3 linked regions of the Drosophila melanogaster genome follow. The gene in region 3 interacts genetically with the main gene of each other region. Each region holds a gene or a part of one and is shown on either strand. Other genes may lie near its edges.

The links. A genetic interaction does not mean that the proteins touch.
Region 1: of Thor (region 3) and Lrrk, extra expression of one rescues a mutant of the other (dosage rescue), as found in Drosophila melanogaster (2 studies listed by BioGRID, with this or other methods).
Region 2: of Thor (region 3) and Pink1, changing one suppresses a phenotype caused by changing the other (phenotypic suppression), as found in Drosophila melanogaster (3 studies listed by BioGRID).

Annotation. Positions count from the first base shown.
Region 1 is NT_033777.3:20,633,935-20,638,699, forward strand, and holds the start of Lrrk (Leucine-rich repeat kinase), read left to right. Parts: upstream 1-1,545; 5' UTR 1,546-1,703; coding exon 1,704-1,722; intron 1,723-1,881; coding exon 1,882-2,154; intron 2,155-2,164; exon of another isoform or gene 2,165-2,253; coding exon of another isoform or gene 2,254-2,341; intron 2,342-2,406; coding exon 2,407-2,566; intron 2,567-2,628; coding exon 2,629-3,888; intron 3,889-3,944; coding exon 3,945-4,765.
Region 2 is NC_004354.4:6,681,944-6,688,022, forward strand, and holds Pink1 (PTEN-induced putative kinase 1), read left to right. Parts: upstream 1-1,897; 5' UTR 1,898-2,127; exon of another isoform or gene 2,128-2,184; 5' UTR 2,185-2,518; intron 2,519-2,574; 5' UTR 2,575-2,613; coding exon 2,614-2,778; intron 2,779-2,842; coding exon 2,843-3,628; intron 3,629-3,691; coding exon 3,692-4,705; intron 4,706-4,769; coding exon 4,770-4,970; 3' UTR 4,971-5,095; downstream 5,096-6,079. Other genes in the region: Fum2 (fumarase 2), read left to right, coding at 27-191, 276-479, 563-1,367, 1,428-1,687; CG44303 (uncharacterized protein), read right to left, coding at 5,096-5,359, 5,420-5,422; CG3184 (uncharacterized protein), read right to left, coding at 5,727-6,079.
Region 3 is NT_033779.5:3,476,339-3,480,126, reverse strand, and holds Thor (thor), read right to left. Parts: upstream 1,694-3,788; 5' UTR 1,512-1,693; coding exon 1,367-1,511; intron 943-1,366; coding exon 734-942; 3' UTR 515-733; downstream 1-514. UniProt on the Drosophila melanogaster protein: Repressor of translation initiation that regulates eIF4E1 activity by preventing its assembly into the eIF4F complex. Hypophosphorylated form competes with eIF4G1 and strongly binds to eIF4E1, leading to repress translation.

The DNA of each region.
Region 1 (4,765 bases), on a different chromosome or scaffold from region 3:
CCTTTACCACATGGGATAAAATAGAAAAGCAGCCTCTAAAATCGTCGGTTCTTGTTAATTAAAACAAAAACGCTGACTTTTATTTAGTATGAATCACACAGTCATAAGTTGTTGGCTGGGGGTGGGAGGGGTCAACTTGAAAACAAAAACAAGAATTCAGGGTCAGCCAAGGCGACCTATGAATGCCCTTACGTGTTTTTTTTTGCAATTTTAGGCAGTTGAATGACTGAAGTAAGCAGGATTTATAACGAATTCGATATGGCCGTTGAAAGAAAAGTTTCCATAATGAAAATCTAAGCCATTAAGGCATATTTCAGAGCCAAATGTTCAAATTCCGTGACCGAACGGGTGGAGTTGATACCGCGGAAAGGGTATAAAAAAGTTACGCGGCACCGATGTCTCATCTCTAAGTCGCGATGCCACAAAAATGGAAATTGCAGACAGTCAGAAAAGTCTTGAAAAGCACACGGATTGGCAAGTTTTCATCGAAGTTTCACTTGCATTGTGGCGCAGCTCGTTTGTTTTTGTTTTTTGCTTCCATTTTGGCCAGCCCTCGCCTTTATAGCGATTTTTTTTTGGGTGTGAGCTGCGCAGTTTACGCTGCTCCTTACTTGATTCTCTGCACCGGCACCTTCAGTTGGCCTCTGTCGGCCATTCCGCGGTATTGTTATTTTTCAAACGCACCGTGCAATCGGCTCAAATTTGTGTTCGATTAAGGAATATTAAATTGTTTTTATTTGTATTGTTGAGATCGTGCTGTTAAGCGTCTGTTAACGAACACAGGGTGACTCCTGTTGAACACAGGGCGTTCTAGGCTGGCGCTGGTTAATATCGATAGTGTTTCATTCGATTGTTATATCGATATAGGTTACAGTTGGCATCAGTATTTATAAAATATACACAAATACACGGTGCTAATAAATTCTTGTTCGTAAACAGTCATAACAGGAAATTGCATGTTAAAAAAAAAATAAATAAAAATAATTAACAGTTCCTAAGAATCAAATTCTTTTAGATAAAATCATAGCATACAAAATAAAATTCAACAAAAAGTAACAGTCGATAGTGATTCACTGCTTAACTGATTTAAATAATATCGATATTACTGTTGTTGAGTTGACAAGCAGTGCAAAGTAACAGAAACGATGACCACCTTATCGCGTTTTGGTATTTATATATGTATGCTATCAGAAATGAGATATTTCAGCATCAGTTGGGATTTCAAATATTTCACTTGGGAACAAATTTTTAGATGTGTATGAATAAAAATAATAAATGCGTCTTCCAAATACTTGTTCGGCCTTGTTAAATTAATTTTAATTTATAAATTTAAGCCAATGGACATAAAAATCAATGATTTTGGGTAGATTATGATTTAGTTATTAAGCTGGCTTTAATCTTTGGAGAAAAGTACGAAGCCCCCTGCGTGCGACACTGATTAACAGCATTCACTTGCGATATTTCGGTCACACAGAGCGCTTAACAGCATATCGTGCCAAAATGAGGAGATATATTCTAAAACAGTAAGAGGTTACACTGTTTGTTGACAAAAAGGTAAACAAAGTGAAAATTTCGCAAAATGTGCAAAATAATTAAGTAAGGGTCAGTAAAAGGTGCTACTGGTTAATCGGACCATAACAACTACCCATTTAACACATACCATGCATGACTTGGATATCTCGTGAAGTACACAAACCAAAACAATGAGCGACTCCGACGAAGGTGAGATAACACAACTTTTAGTGAAATTATGCACAATATGCTAGTTTTGCGCAAATTTAGTCAGAGTGCAAATGAGCATTATACGCTTGACTATGCAAATTACCTAAGTGGTGCAATTAAAACTTCAACCAGTTGTTATTGGTTTTTCAACAACACCAGCAAGGGCACAGGGTGACATTGGTGCAATGGAAGTGGGCGCGCAAAAACTTTTTTCAAACAGCCACCCCCCACAGAAGCAACTGGTGCAACCACTGGACCATCCGACACCCACGAAGAGACAAATCAAAACAAATGCCACGCACTCACCCAATGCCACATTCTTGAACAAGTGCAACAGTTGCCGCGCTTCTTGGGCTCCGACTTGCGCAGTGCGACATAAAACGGCCTGGATCAATGACCACAAAAACGTGGCCATCGATTTTCCGCAGTTCAGTTTTTGCTAGCGGCGCGTTCGGTCATCATACCGATGCCAATTAATTTTTGGGGCTTATTCGCACCGATTTGGGTTACATAATGTCATGGAAATTCAGCATGGAACATCCCAAAACTGGAACTGAAACAGCTCTGGAAGCCTGTGACTACTTCGTGGATGAGGTCATTGAGGCATCCTCAATACGGGGTGGGAATTGGTTTATTCCAAAGGTGCTGTGTATTAGTTAACCAAGCAAAACTTATCTTTCACAGATGCCCGCGAGGAAGTGCGTCAGATCAAGCACGGGGAGCTGCGAACGGCAGTGATCTCTGGCGATGAGCGGACTGTGCGGGTGCTGCTGGCAGCTCTTGGAACTGAGCGTCAGATTATAGTCAATATGGCTCCTTCAGGAGCAAACACCCTTCTATTCCTGTGAGAAAAAGTCTTTTAGAATTAGTCCATTTTGAGCCAAACTAATATCGGTCTCGTTTTAGAGCCTGCCAGTCTGGTTACGAGAGCATTACACAGCGATTGCTGGATGCTGGAGCGGATGGTCGCTCCCATGCCGTGACCAAGTACTCACCCTTGTACGCCGCCGTCCATAGCGGTCACTTGGGCATTGCCCGACTGATGCTAGACCATTTTCCAGAACTGATCCAGCAGCCGACTGTAGAGCGCTGGCTGCCGCTGCACGCCGCCTGCATCAATGGACACATCAAGCTGCTGGAACTCCTTATCAGCTACAGTTATCCCGACTACCTCTACCAGACATATCGCGACGAGGAGGGCCAGTGGGAATGGCGGCTCCCCTTCGACGCTAACGCTCATGATGTGACGGGTCAGACGAGTCTGTATATTGCCAGCATCCTAGGAAACAAGCAGCTGGTTGGTGTGCTTCTAAAGTGGCAGCTCCATTGCCGGCGTACGTTGGGCGATTCCGCCAGCTCGGTGAGCACTCCTATTACGCCCACCAGGAAACGTATTTCATTTGGCATTCAGGCTATCATGTCCAAACTGCACATATCTGGAGAGTCAGAAGGACCCGACGACCTAGCTTCACAAGAGTCAACCGAGTGCCAACGGTGTCCCATTAACGTGAATCTGCTATGTGGAGCGGCGAGAGAAACAGCTCTGCTTGCGGCCGTTCGAGGCGGCCACCTAGACGTGGTGCAGTCTCTGCTACAGCACGGCGCAAATCCGAATATTGTAGCCAAGCCAGTTGAGGATCACAACGACCCGAAATGTTGCGAGGAAATATATGGGCTCAGTAATGTCCCCATTGCAGAGGCCTGCAAGCAAAGGTCGCTGGCTATGTTGGATCTCTTGCTTAAGCATGGAGCCCGCGACGATAATGGCACGGCCATTGGAATGGCTATTACATGCGGCGACGAGGCCATCCTGAGTCGTCTTTTGGCCCGACGAGTCCATCCGGACTCAGACTACAAGATCAACAAGAAGGGTCTTCCCACACCAGTGGAGGTGAACGTGTTTTTGCCGTCCACCAGCAACATATCTTACAGTGCTATGTTCCCCAACAATCCAACCATTATTGACTGGCACAGCATGGGCTCCAGTGTCCAGTTGTCTGTTGTAAGGGTTCCCTGGATGGTCAGCGGTGTGTTGCTGCTGAATCCTAAGCTACAGTCGCATCCGCGACTTAATGAGGTTGCTCTGACAGCTATCACGCGAATAGATTTCTCGCACAACGTTCTCACGTCAATTCCACAGGAGCTTTTCCATTTGGTTAGCCTAAGGTTAGTAAAGACAAAGTAATAAGTTTTTCAAGAATTATATTAGTCCTTCATTTAAGGTATTTAAATGTGGCGCAAAACAAGATAACCGATCTACCTGCACCAATAGGCCAGACATATGGGTGTCCGGTACTGGATGAACTCTTTCTACAAGACAACCAGTTAACTACGCTGCCAGCCGCCATCTTTCACCTGCCCGCCCTATCTATATTGGATGTTTCAAATAACAAACTGCAACAGCTTCCCTTCGACCTGTGGCGTGCACCCAAGTTGCGCGAACTTAATGTGGCCTTCAACCTATTGCGGGATCTTCCTGTGCCGCCAATGCAAACTAGCAGTTCGCTGCTGAGCCTAGACAAATTGAATCTGCAATCTTTTGAGGAGCCGCCATCAAACAAACCGCGAAATGTGACTCAGCAACGTCTCACCCATCGCAATCTATGGTCGGCTACTTTGGACATAACCGATAATGACATGAAGTGGCAGCATGAACAAGATTTAGGCGATGGAAAGACAGCTGGTGTGGGCTCCTCCCAGCTAAGTAGCTTAAATATAGCAAATAACCTCTTCACCAGTATCCCCGCTGCTTTGCCCTGTCTGGCTGTAAACCTAACACGGCTGAATATGTCATACAACAGTCTGCGTTCTATGGGACATGTAACCAGTTACCCGGCAACACTTAAGCAGTTGGATCTAAGTCACAACGAGATATCCTGCTGGCCAAGTTTACCGCGAATTACTGAATCGGATCCGCATCTACTGTGCTACAGTTGTGTCCAGCTACCAGAGGGTCGAGATGACGACTACAAGACGGCCTCCTCAAAGGGCAGTAGCTCGTCTGCCACATCGTTTCGCGCTTCGGTGTTAAAAAGTGTTTGTC
Region 2 (6,079 bases), on a different chromosome or scaffold from region 3:
CATGGCTACATGGGGCATCTTTGCAGTGCGACAGTGGCGGTAAGGGCGGCAAGGGCAAGGAGAATGGCAAGTTTCGTACGGAGAAGGACACCTTCGGGGAGCTAAAGGTGCCGGCGGACAAGCTGTACGGCGCACAGACGATGCGCTCCAAATTGAATTTTCCCATTGGCGACATAGGCGAACGTATGCCGGTAGGCAACCAACCAACCAACCAACATATTCTGGCATCTACCAAGTGCTTTGCCATAGCCAATTAATCCCCAAACTGCCCGCAGATGCCGGTGATCCAGGCCATGGGCATACTGAAGAAGGCATGTGCCGAGGTCAACAAGGATTACGGACTAGATGGCAAGGTGTCGGATGCCGTATCCTGCGCCTGCGACGATGTCATTTCCGGCAAGCTATACAAACAGGGTCACTTCCCATTGGTCATCTGGCAAACCGGTTCGGGCACCCAGACCAATATGAACACCAACGAGGTAAGATTGTTAGATAGGGCTAACGAGAGAAATGTGTATAGCTGGATGCTTCTCCTGCCCCATGCCATTGGCAAACCTACTAGGTGATCAGCAATGCGGCCATTAAGATGATGGGCGGCGAACTGGGCAGCAAGAAGCCGGTGCATCCCAACGATCATGTGAACAAGTCGCAGAGCTCCAACGACACCTTCCCCACGGCCATTCACATTTCGGTGGGCATGGAGCTGAACGAGCGGCTTGTTCCGGCGGTTACACACTTGAGGGATGCCCTCAAGTCCAAGTCGGATGAGTTCAAGGACATCATCAAGATCGGACGCACCCACTTGATGGACGCAGTTCCGCTGACTTTGGGCCAGGAATTCAGCGGTTATACACAGCAGTTGACCAACGGTCTGGAAAGGATCAAGGGCTGTCTGCCGCGCGTCTATGAGCTGGCTCTGGGCGGCACTGCTGTGGGTACGGGTCTGAACACACGCAAGGGATTCGCCGAGAAGGTGGCCAAGCGCATTTCGGAGCTAACCTGCTTGCCCTTCGTGTCGGCGCCCAACAAGTTCGAGGCACTGGCTGCCCGCGATGCCATGGTGGAGGTGCATGGTGTGCTCAACACGATCGCCGTCAGCCTGATGAAGATCGCCAACGATATCCGATTGCTGGGATCGGGTCCGCGTTGCGGTCTGGGCGAACTAATGCTGCCGGAGAACGAGCCCGGTAGCTCCATCATGCCCGGCAAGGTGAATCCCACGCAATGCGAATCAATGACCATGCTGTGTGCCCAGGTGATGGGCAATCAGGTGGCGGTGACCATCGGCGGCTCCAACGGGCACTTCGAGCTAAATGTATTCAAACCCCTGGTCGTGTCCAATGTGCTGCGCTCCATTCGCTTGTTGGGTGAGTCGGAAATGTGTTTTCCAAGTGGAAAAACATGCATACATAACCTTCTCCTCCCAGCTGATGGCAGCATGACCTTCAGCAAGAACTGCGTGGAGGGACTGCAGGCCAACAAGGAGAGGATCGACAAGATCATGAACGAGTCCTTGATGCTGGTGACCGCGCTGAATCCGCACATTGGCTATGACAAGGCCGCCCTGATCGCCAAGACGGCGCACAAGAATAAGACGACCTTGAAGGAGGAGGCACTGAAGACCGGAATTACCGAAGAGCAGTTCAAGGAGTGGGTCAATCCCAAGGAGATGCTGGGACCGAAGTGATTCGCTGTGCGGCTATTGACGATTTTGTTTTAGTTTCGTGTAATAAATTTTTGTGTGTAGCAGGATATTTCAATAGATTGTATTAATTTGTTGATTTTACGGCAGGTGAATAACGGTTTTTAGTTTTTGAATTCTCCAAATGATTCGAGTCCACACTACGCGATAGTCATTATCGATTCTAAAGATATACCGTAAGTGTGGTCACACTAACGCCTTGCTGTTTCTAAATTATTCCGTTGTTTTTATCGTAAATTCTTGCACACTTAGCTATTATTTTATAGCGAAATATAAGCAAAGCAAGCTTTTAAACAAGTGTTTATTGCGGCGCACATTTTCCGTGACAAATGAAAAGATCCAGCTGACCAGCGATTATCTAACGACCAAATCGAATCGAAACGAAACGTTGAAGTAGGCGCATTACATTAAAAATTGGCTGCCAGGCAAGTTGGAGGTCGTAAATTAATCGTTTTGTTCAGTTGAAAATAGCCCAAAATCAGTCTAGCCCACACAGATATCGAAAAAGGCGATATATCTTTGGATAATCATTGCAAAAATAAACCCTTTCGATTCGACGATTTCGCCTTGTAGTTCTGCCACCACCGCCCCCACACTTCGCCCCGCAGCTGCACCACAACCACCACCACCCACAAACAGAAAATTTATTTGCGACGCAAAAACAAAACAATCGAATCGAAACGAACCGAACCGAAACGAAACGACAGCAGCTGTTTGGTTATAAATCGGCGCTATCGATCGCACACATGAGCAAAATTGGCGGAGAAGAAGAGGAAGCAGCAGCAAGAGTTAAGCACCACAAATCTTAAAGAATAGGTAAAAATTAAAAATTAAATTAATAGATGACAGACCGTTTAAGGTGCTTCATTCAGTTGCAGGCACTAGGAGCCGAGGTCTTTGCGGGCCGAAAGATGTCTGTGAGACTGCTGACCGTGCGACTGATCAAACATGGTCGCTACATTTTGCGCAGCTATTGTAAACGTGATATACACGCCAACATTTTGGACCAGAATCAATTGAAGACAAGAAGCAAGCGAGGCTTTCCCCTACCCTCCACCGCTGCCAATGTGCTGCGGGTAAGTCAAGCTAAACGGATGATCAAGGCATGTCCAATTAACCCGCATCCAATCTCTTCGCCAGACAACGCCCCAGCAGGCGGCCAAATCGGTGGTCAATGTAGTGCCCCGCACCATCAACTCCCCGTCGGGATCACCGTTTAATGGCAGCGGCAGTAGCCCCACCAGCAGCAGTGGAATCTTCCGAGTGGGCCAGCATGCGCGCAAATTGTTCATCGACAACATCCTCAGCCGGGTGACCACCACCTACTCGGAGGATCTGCGCCAGCGCGCTACCCGCAAGCTATTCTTTGGCGATTCAGCGCCCTTCTTCGCCCTGATTGGCGTTAGTCTGGCCTCCGGATCGGGTGTGCTCAGCAAGGAGGATGAACTGGAGGGCGTGTGCTGGGAGATTCGGGAGGCAGCTAGCCGGCTGCAGAACGCCTGGAATCACGACGAGATCTCCGATACGCTAGACAGCAAGTTCACCATCGATGACTTGGAAATCGGTCCGCCCATAGCCAAAGGTTGTGCCGCTGTCGTCTATGCAGCGGATTTCAAGAAAGATGTTGCCTCGGATGGTGCATCCCTGCATACCGATGCGCAGCCGCAGGCAACGCCAGCCTTTGCGCCGAATAGCTGGAGTACCCACGAGATGATGTCGCCGCTGCAGAACATGTCGCGCTTTGTTCACAACTTTGGCGGCTCTGTGGACAACGTCTTCCACTACAGCCAGCCATCTGCGGCCAGTGATTTCGTGGGCGCCCAGTCGAGGGAACAGGACCAGCGGCACCACGAGCAACAGCAGCATCAGAATCAGGAACAAGAGCAGCATCAGAACCAGGAGCCCAGCAGCAGTGCCTTCAATGTGGTAAATATGTAAGCTTAAATCTGCATGGCAACTTGCCATCACGCTCTTTGCTTTAACTTGCAGACTTCTCCAGCGAATTCAAACATCAACAGCTCTGTGGACAGTTATCCACTGGCACTCAAAATGATGTTCAACTACGACATCCAGAGCAACGCTCTGTCCATACTGCGTGCCATGTACAAGGAGACGGTACCGGCACGCCAGCGCGGCATGAATGAGGCCGCCGATGAGTGGGAACGTTTGCTGCAGAATCAAACTGTTCACCTGCCGCGGCATCCGAACATTGTCTGTATGTTTGGCTTCTTTTGCGACGAGGTGCGCAACTTTCCCGATGGCCATCTCCTGTATCCGGTGGCGCAGCCGCAACGCATCAATCCACAGGGCTATGGCCGCAATATGTCGCTGTATCTGCTGATGAAACGCTACGATCACAGTCTTCGCGGCCTGCTCGATAGCCAGGATCTGAGCACGCGCAATCGCATCCTGCTGCTGGCTCAAATGCTCGAGGCTGTCAACCATTTGAGCCGTCACGGCGTTGCCCATCGTGACCTAAAGTCTGATAATGTGCTAATCGAGCTGCAGGACGATGCGGCGCCGGTGCTAGTGCTCTCCGACTTTGGCTGTTGTCTGGCGGACAAGGTGCATGGCCTGCGCCTGCCGTACGTTTCGCACGACGTCGACAAGGGCGGCAATGCGGCGTTGATGGCGCCAGAGATCTTCAATACGATGCCCGGTCCGTTTGCCGTACTCAATTATGGCAAGGCCGATCTGTGGGCTTGCGGTGCCCTGGCTTACGAAATCTTTGGCAACCGCAATCCGTTCTATTCGAGCAGCGGTGGGATGGCGCGCGAACGCGGTGAGATGACGCTTTCGCTGAGGAACAGCGATTACCGACAGGACCAATTGCCGCCAATGAGCGATGCTTGCCCGCCGCTGCTGCAACAGCTGGTCTACAACATCCTCAATCCCAACCCGTCCAAGCGGGTCAGTCCGGATATTGCGGCAAATGTGGTGCAGCTGTTCCTCTGGGCCCCATCCAATTGGCTTAAGGCGGGCGGCATGCCCAACAGTCCGGAGGTGGGTCGCAGTGTTTGATACCACATCAGCATCCTTTTAAGCTAATTATGATTTTTTTTTACAGATCCTACAGTGGCTCCTTTCGCTGACCACTAAGATTATGTGCGAGGGTCGTCCACAGATGGGCGCCGGATTGATGCCAGTGGCCAGCTGTGGCAATAGGCGCGCCTATGTGGAGTACCTGCTCATATGCAGCTTTCTGGCACGCGCCCGGCTGCGTCGCATTCGCGGCGCCCTCAACTGGATCCAGAATGTGGTGGCGTAGGAGAAAAGCCTTCTACTTGTTACTCTGAGAAAATCAAATGGAAAAGCGTGTGATACCTATATTTTACATATGTATTTATAAATGAAATCAAAATTAACGCCAAAAGCACGCCTCCGGTACAATAATTATTGACCCTCCTGATCTTTCTGATTCTTCAGCTTCTGCATTTTCGCCACCAGCGCCTCCTGTTTGACCAAACTCCTGTCGAGCTTTTCCATCACCTGCCTGATCATAATTTGGAGTTCCGCAAGATGTTTCTCCCAGGCCACATTCTGCTCCTCCAGCTCGATAAGCTTATAGAGATTGGCCTCGTTTGAGTCTTCGATGTTGTCTATAGCCTGATCCAGGCTATCCTCGGCGTCCAACTTGTTTGGATTTTGTGGGGGATGCTGTGCGGAGTAGAATGAGGAGTTTATAAAGTTAGCAGGATCTCTACGTTTAGTACTTACCATAACTAAACAGTTCAAGTTCATTCACTTCTCTGAATTCGCAAACTTCGAATGAAAATGCGCTGACAGAACTTACGATAACCGCACCAGGGCTGAGCCGATTGCATGCGTTATCGATATCGCCTGCCAGGGATGTTGGCAGTTTAAAATTAGTTTTGGAAAACTTAGGATATCCCAAATGCCATGAACAATTCTGTTTTTTCCGCAAACTATTATACAAACTATAGATAGTTGAAAAACATAAGCCAGCAAATGTTTATTTTTCTTTTAGTTTTTAGTCACATAACATAATATACAGATATCGAATTCATTTGTTAATATCCACGCGACTCACACACAACGTGTGATCATAAAAGGAGCAAGTGGCCATGGTCAAGGACGCATCGTCCTTGTTTCTCCATGGTGCCCAATCGGCCCCGTAGCAGATGCTCTTATGCTCCTCATAGGCGCCCAGTAAACTCAGGCCAGGTGCCGCGACATCCAGCTGCACCACGCTAAAGTTGGTGTACATGCAGGCGGCCAGGATGAGATCGGGCTGGGCAGGATGCGGCTTCAGCCTCCAGATGCCTCCGCTCAAGTCCAGTTCCGCCAGTGATCGCTTCATCGATCTGGTGTCGAAGAGACGCAACTGCTCATCATAGCTACCCGTGAGCAGATGGT
Region 3 (3,788 bases):
AACATGTGCTCAGCACACTACTTTTGTATATATAAGAAAAATGGTAAAGGGCGGGGCGGGGGCCAAAGGCGAGGTCGTTTCCCAACTGCGCAGTTTCTTAAAGATCTATTTTTTTGTGGCGTTTGTTTGCCGGTTTTTGGATACATTATAAATATGTATGCATATCTTTGCAATAAGTGGGACACGCGCTGCTGGGGCCACTGACTGACTGGCTAACTAAAAAGCCGGCCGGTATTTCCAGCTGTCTAACATGTGTACCGCCCCCCAAAAAGCCCCCTTTCGCTAAATTTCTTCGTAAACAGTTCAAACAGTTCAACAAACTGCCGAAAATACTACTAAACCGAAACTGACTCAAGGTGAAGTGGAAAGTGTTCTATCACATAACGCGTGGCCTGCCAAGGTTGAATTGCCGATAAAGAAAGTAATTTGGCACTGAATTTCTCAAACATAAATTAAAATTTATAATTGTAAATTGGCAGCTACTGAATCCCAATGGAAGGTGTGGTTCTCTTTTAAATAATGTGTGCCTTTTTTTTATTGCATTTTACTTAAGATCTACGATTTTACAAGGTAACGGGGTCAATATGACCGAGAGAACAAACAAGGTGGAAGAACTAAGAACTTAGCATCTAGTTAATGGGTACACTAAGCTTATAAGATCGGTTTTAGTGGGTGCATCTAAGAACTAGTTGGATTTGGCAGTTGCTGCATGGCGGTGTACACGCCACACCCCCTACAGATCCAGTTGGAACTGTTCCTGGTCCTCAATCTTCAGCGACTTGGTCTGCTTGATCAGTTCCGTGGGGACGGGCACGCACTTGCGGAAGGGAGTACGCGGAGTTCCCCTCAGCAAGCAACTGGGCACGTTGGACGGCGGAGTTTGGCTCAATGGGGAGCCACGGAGATTCTTCATGAAAGCCCGCTCGTAGATAAGTTTGGTGCCTGGAATTATAGGAAAGCGGAAATTTTTATTAGTCAAGGTGGTCTGCGTTGCATCAGAAAGGTATTCAAAGTTCCCCACTGATAAGCCAGCTGAGTAAACGCTTCTTTGCCGCGCTACTCTGAGTCACGAACTGTGGAACATGTGCTCGGGATTATCTTCCAACTGACTGACTCGGCGAGATGGCCCAGTTTCATCAGCCAAAAAATGGTGAGTGAGTTTTACAAAAATAATGTATCACAACTCAAACAAAAGCTTGTTTGTTGTTTGAGCAAAGGAAAGAAACGGTATACTTGTTTATGTTTTCGAAATATGTTGATTAATTTCATCTTGATATCATATCTAATGATAAGAAAATCACTCCACTTTCCGGAAGGAACTTAATAATACTCGATGTAGTCTCAGCTTCCAATTTTCGAAACTTACCTCCAGGAGTGGTGGAGTAGAGGGTTCCGCCGGGCGTCGAGGAGTACACCTCGGGCATCTGGATCGGATCCGAGATGACAACCTTCCTGGTGATCATGGGCAGGGCCTGGGTGATGGCTTGACGGGCGGTGGGTGAAGCGGACATCTTAGCTGATTGATTGGATTGGTTTCGAAAACTTTCCGCTGGACGTGTAAGCACACTCGATATGGCTGCGACAATTTGATTGTTTACACAAACTGCGTTGTTTGTATTTCGTTGCTTGTATCAGCTATAGAGCTTGTGTGGCTGCTATGTGTTCACCGTTGGCTGTTCGCTAGGCGATTGCTGGCGGTATTACGAAGTGTGGCTCTATTTATACCCCCCCATTCTTACTCTCTCTCGCTCTCTTCTCGCTCTTTCGCCTGCTCTCTCGCCTGATTATTCTGCTTGGTCGGCTGATGTTTTTTGTTTTTATCTGGTGTATTTTCTGCGTAGTTTATGACAAACCGGCTGGTTCTTGTTGTTATTGCCGTATTCTAATATATTCCCCTATTGTTCTTATTTTTGTTGCAGCCTGCACACCTCGGAGGTTCTAGATGATAAGGGGTGTAGCGATGGTGGGGGGCTGTCTTGAGGGGCTTCTCGCCTTGAGCTCTTGTTTATCTTTGGTCATTTGTTATTGTTTAATGCACGGCAATATTATTGGTAAACAAGTTAGCCAACAGCACTAAACGCCAATCGCATTCTTTTCTAAAAACCAAGTCTATTGTCGATCTTGCTAGGGAAATGATGATGACTCAGGTGCAATTGGGATCTTATCTATGGCTGTCTGGGAGTCAAGAGGTGTTCCGCAGAATTTCGTGAAGTACTGCCGCTCTCTCCATGGGGCCATTATTTTGCACTCGTTTTCGCGAAATACCATTAATTAGCATAAAGACACGTCGCCGGCAATCGTGACGTAGGCTATGAGTGCCTTCTATGCATGTGCGAACTCGCGGAGCATAGCAATTTGAGCAACGATATTGCAGGTTTTTATGGGCTAAAAGATACCCAGCATTTCACTTTTTTTCAGGCGGAAAGTGTTCATTATTATCTGGCACGAGCCGTTTTGAAATAATTATCACGAAAAGATACACGTCTTACATAACTTACTTGCTTTATTTACTTAGATATGCAATTTTAGCGTGATTTCTATATTTAGGAGTGCACAATCCAAAAGTACGCTTAGCTCATATCAAAATTTAACTTGACTGATATGAAACATACATATTTAATATCTTTTCTTTGGCACATTGACTTCTTAGCCGTTTAATATTAGCGCACATATCTAAAGAAATACATATATCATATCACCAAATTTGGTGATCGAACCCTTATTAGTTCCCAAGTTCTTTGAGGTGGAATATCTTGTTTGGAATCAAACTAATATGCCCCACTGATCGCAGCAAGCATAGGGTGGATCCAAGCAGCGGCACGAGCGGTTTTAGCTATGCGGGGGCGATGTTGACGATATTTAATCGTTGGACGCATGTAAATAGTGCTACAGGAACTTTTGCCTACGTTGGCGCCCACGATTCGACGTAATTCGGATATTGGCCACGGGCCATTCCGAGGGATATGGGGTTGACAAAAGGTGGCCACGTGTGTTGATCTGCGGCGATCATGATCTCGATGTGGGACAGGGGATGGCGCCCACCTAGAAATCTGCACAAGGTCGATACTTAAGCGTGCTAATATTTATGATGGCTAAATGGGGAAGCTTGACAGACCTTGAAAGTAGATTTCCATGTGACGAGGAGCATATTTGAATTGGGGAAAGCATGACCCAAATCCATCAATTACACTAGATGGGGGTGGGAGTTAGCTGGGTGCCAACTGACCCCCAAAGTAGTAAACGGTAAACAAGGGAGCCAGAACACGAAAAACACGGACAATTTTGCCGTGTCATCTAGCACGTAGTCCACAGCATAGAAACCGCCCTACGTGCCGGCTGATATGTTTATATATTTTATTTTTTGGGTGAGAGAGCGGCTCTTCTCCGCATTTTCCACCTCCATTAGGGCTTATCAACCCTCGAAGAAACCAGTTCGGATTTTGCTTTCGTTTTCATCAGATACAATATGATGTACCTGCGCAAAGAGAGAGAGACAGGCCTATAGCCGCGAGGAAAGAGACGGCAGGCAGTTTTCCTACTGCGTTGCAGCCAAGTTAAAATGCGTCTTGAGATATTCCTAGCCGGTTCTCTAAGCGCCGAGGGGTGTTTTTCCCATCCGCCGGGGGACAGGTAATACATACGTACATATATAGTGAAATTCGGATGAAATCTTTTTCGGGGAGGCTGATGAAATTGCACCATCGAATTGCGTGAAACATACGGACGAACGGTGGGTCATTACCATCGGTGGGTTCTATTCCCAAACGAGTCTGAGATGGTTGTGAATG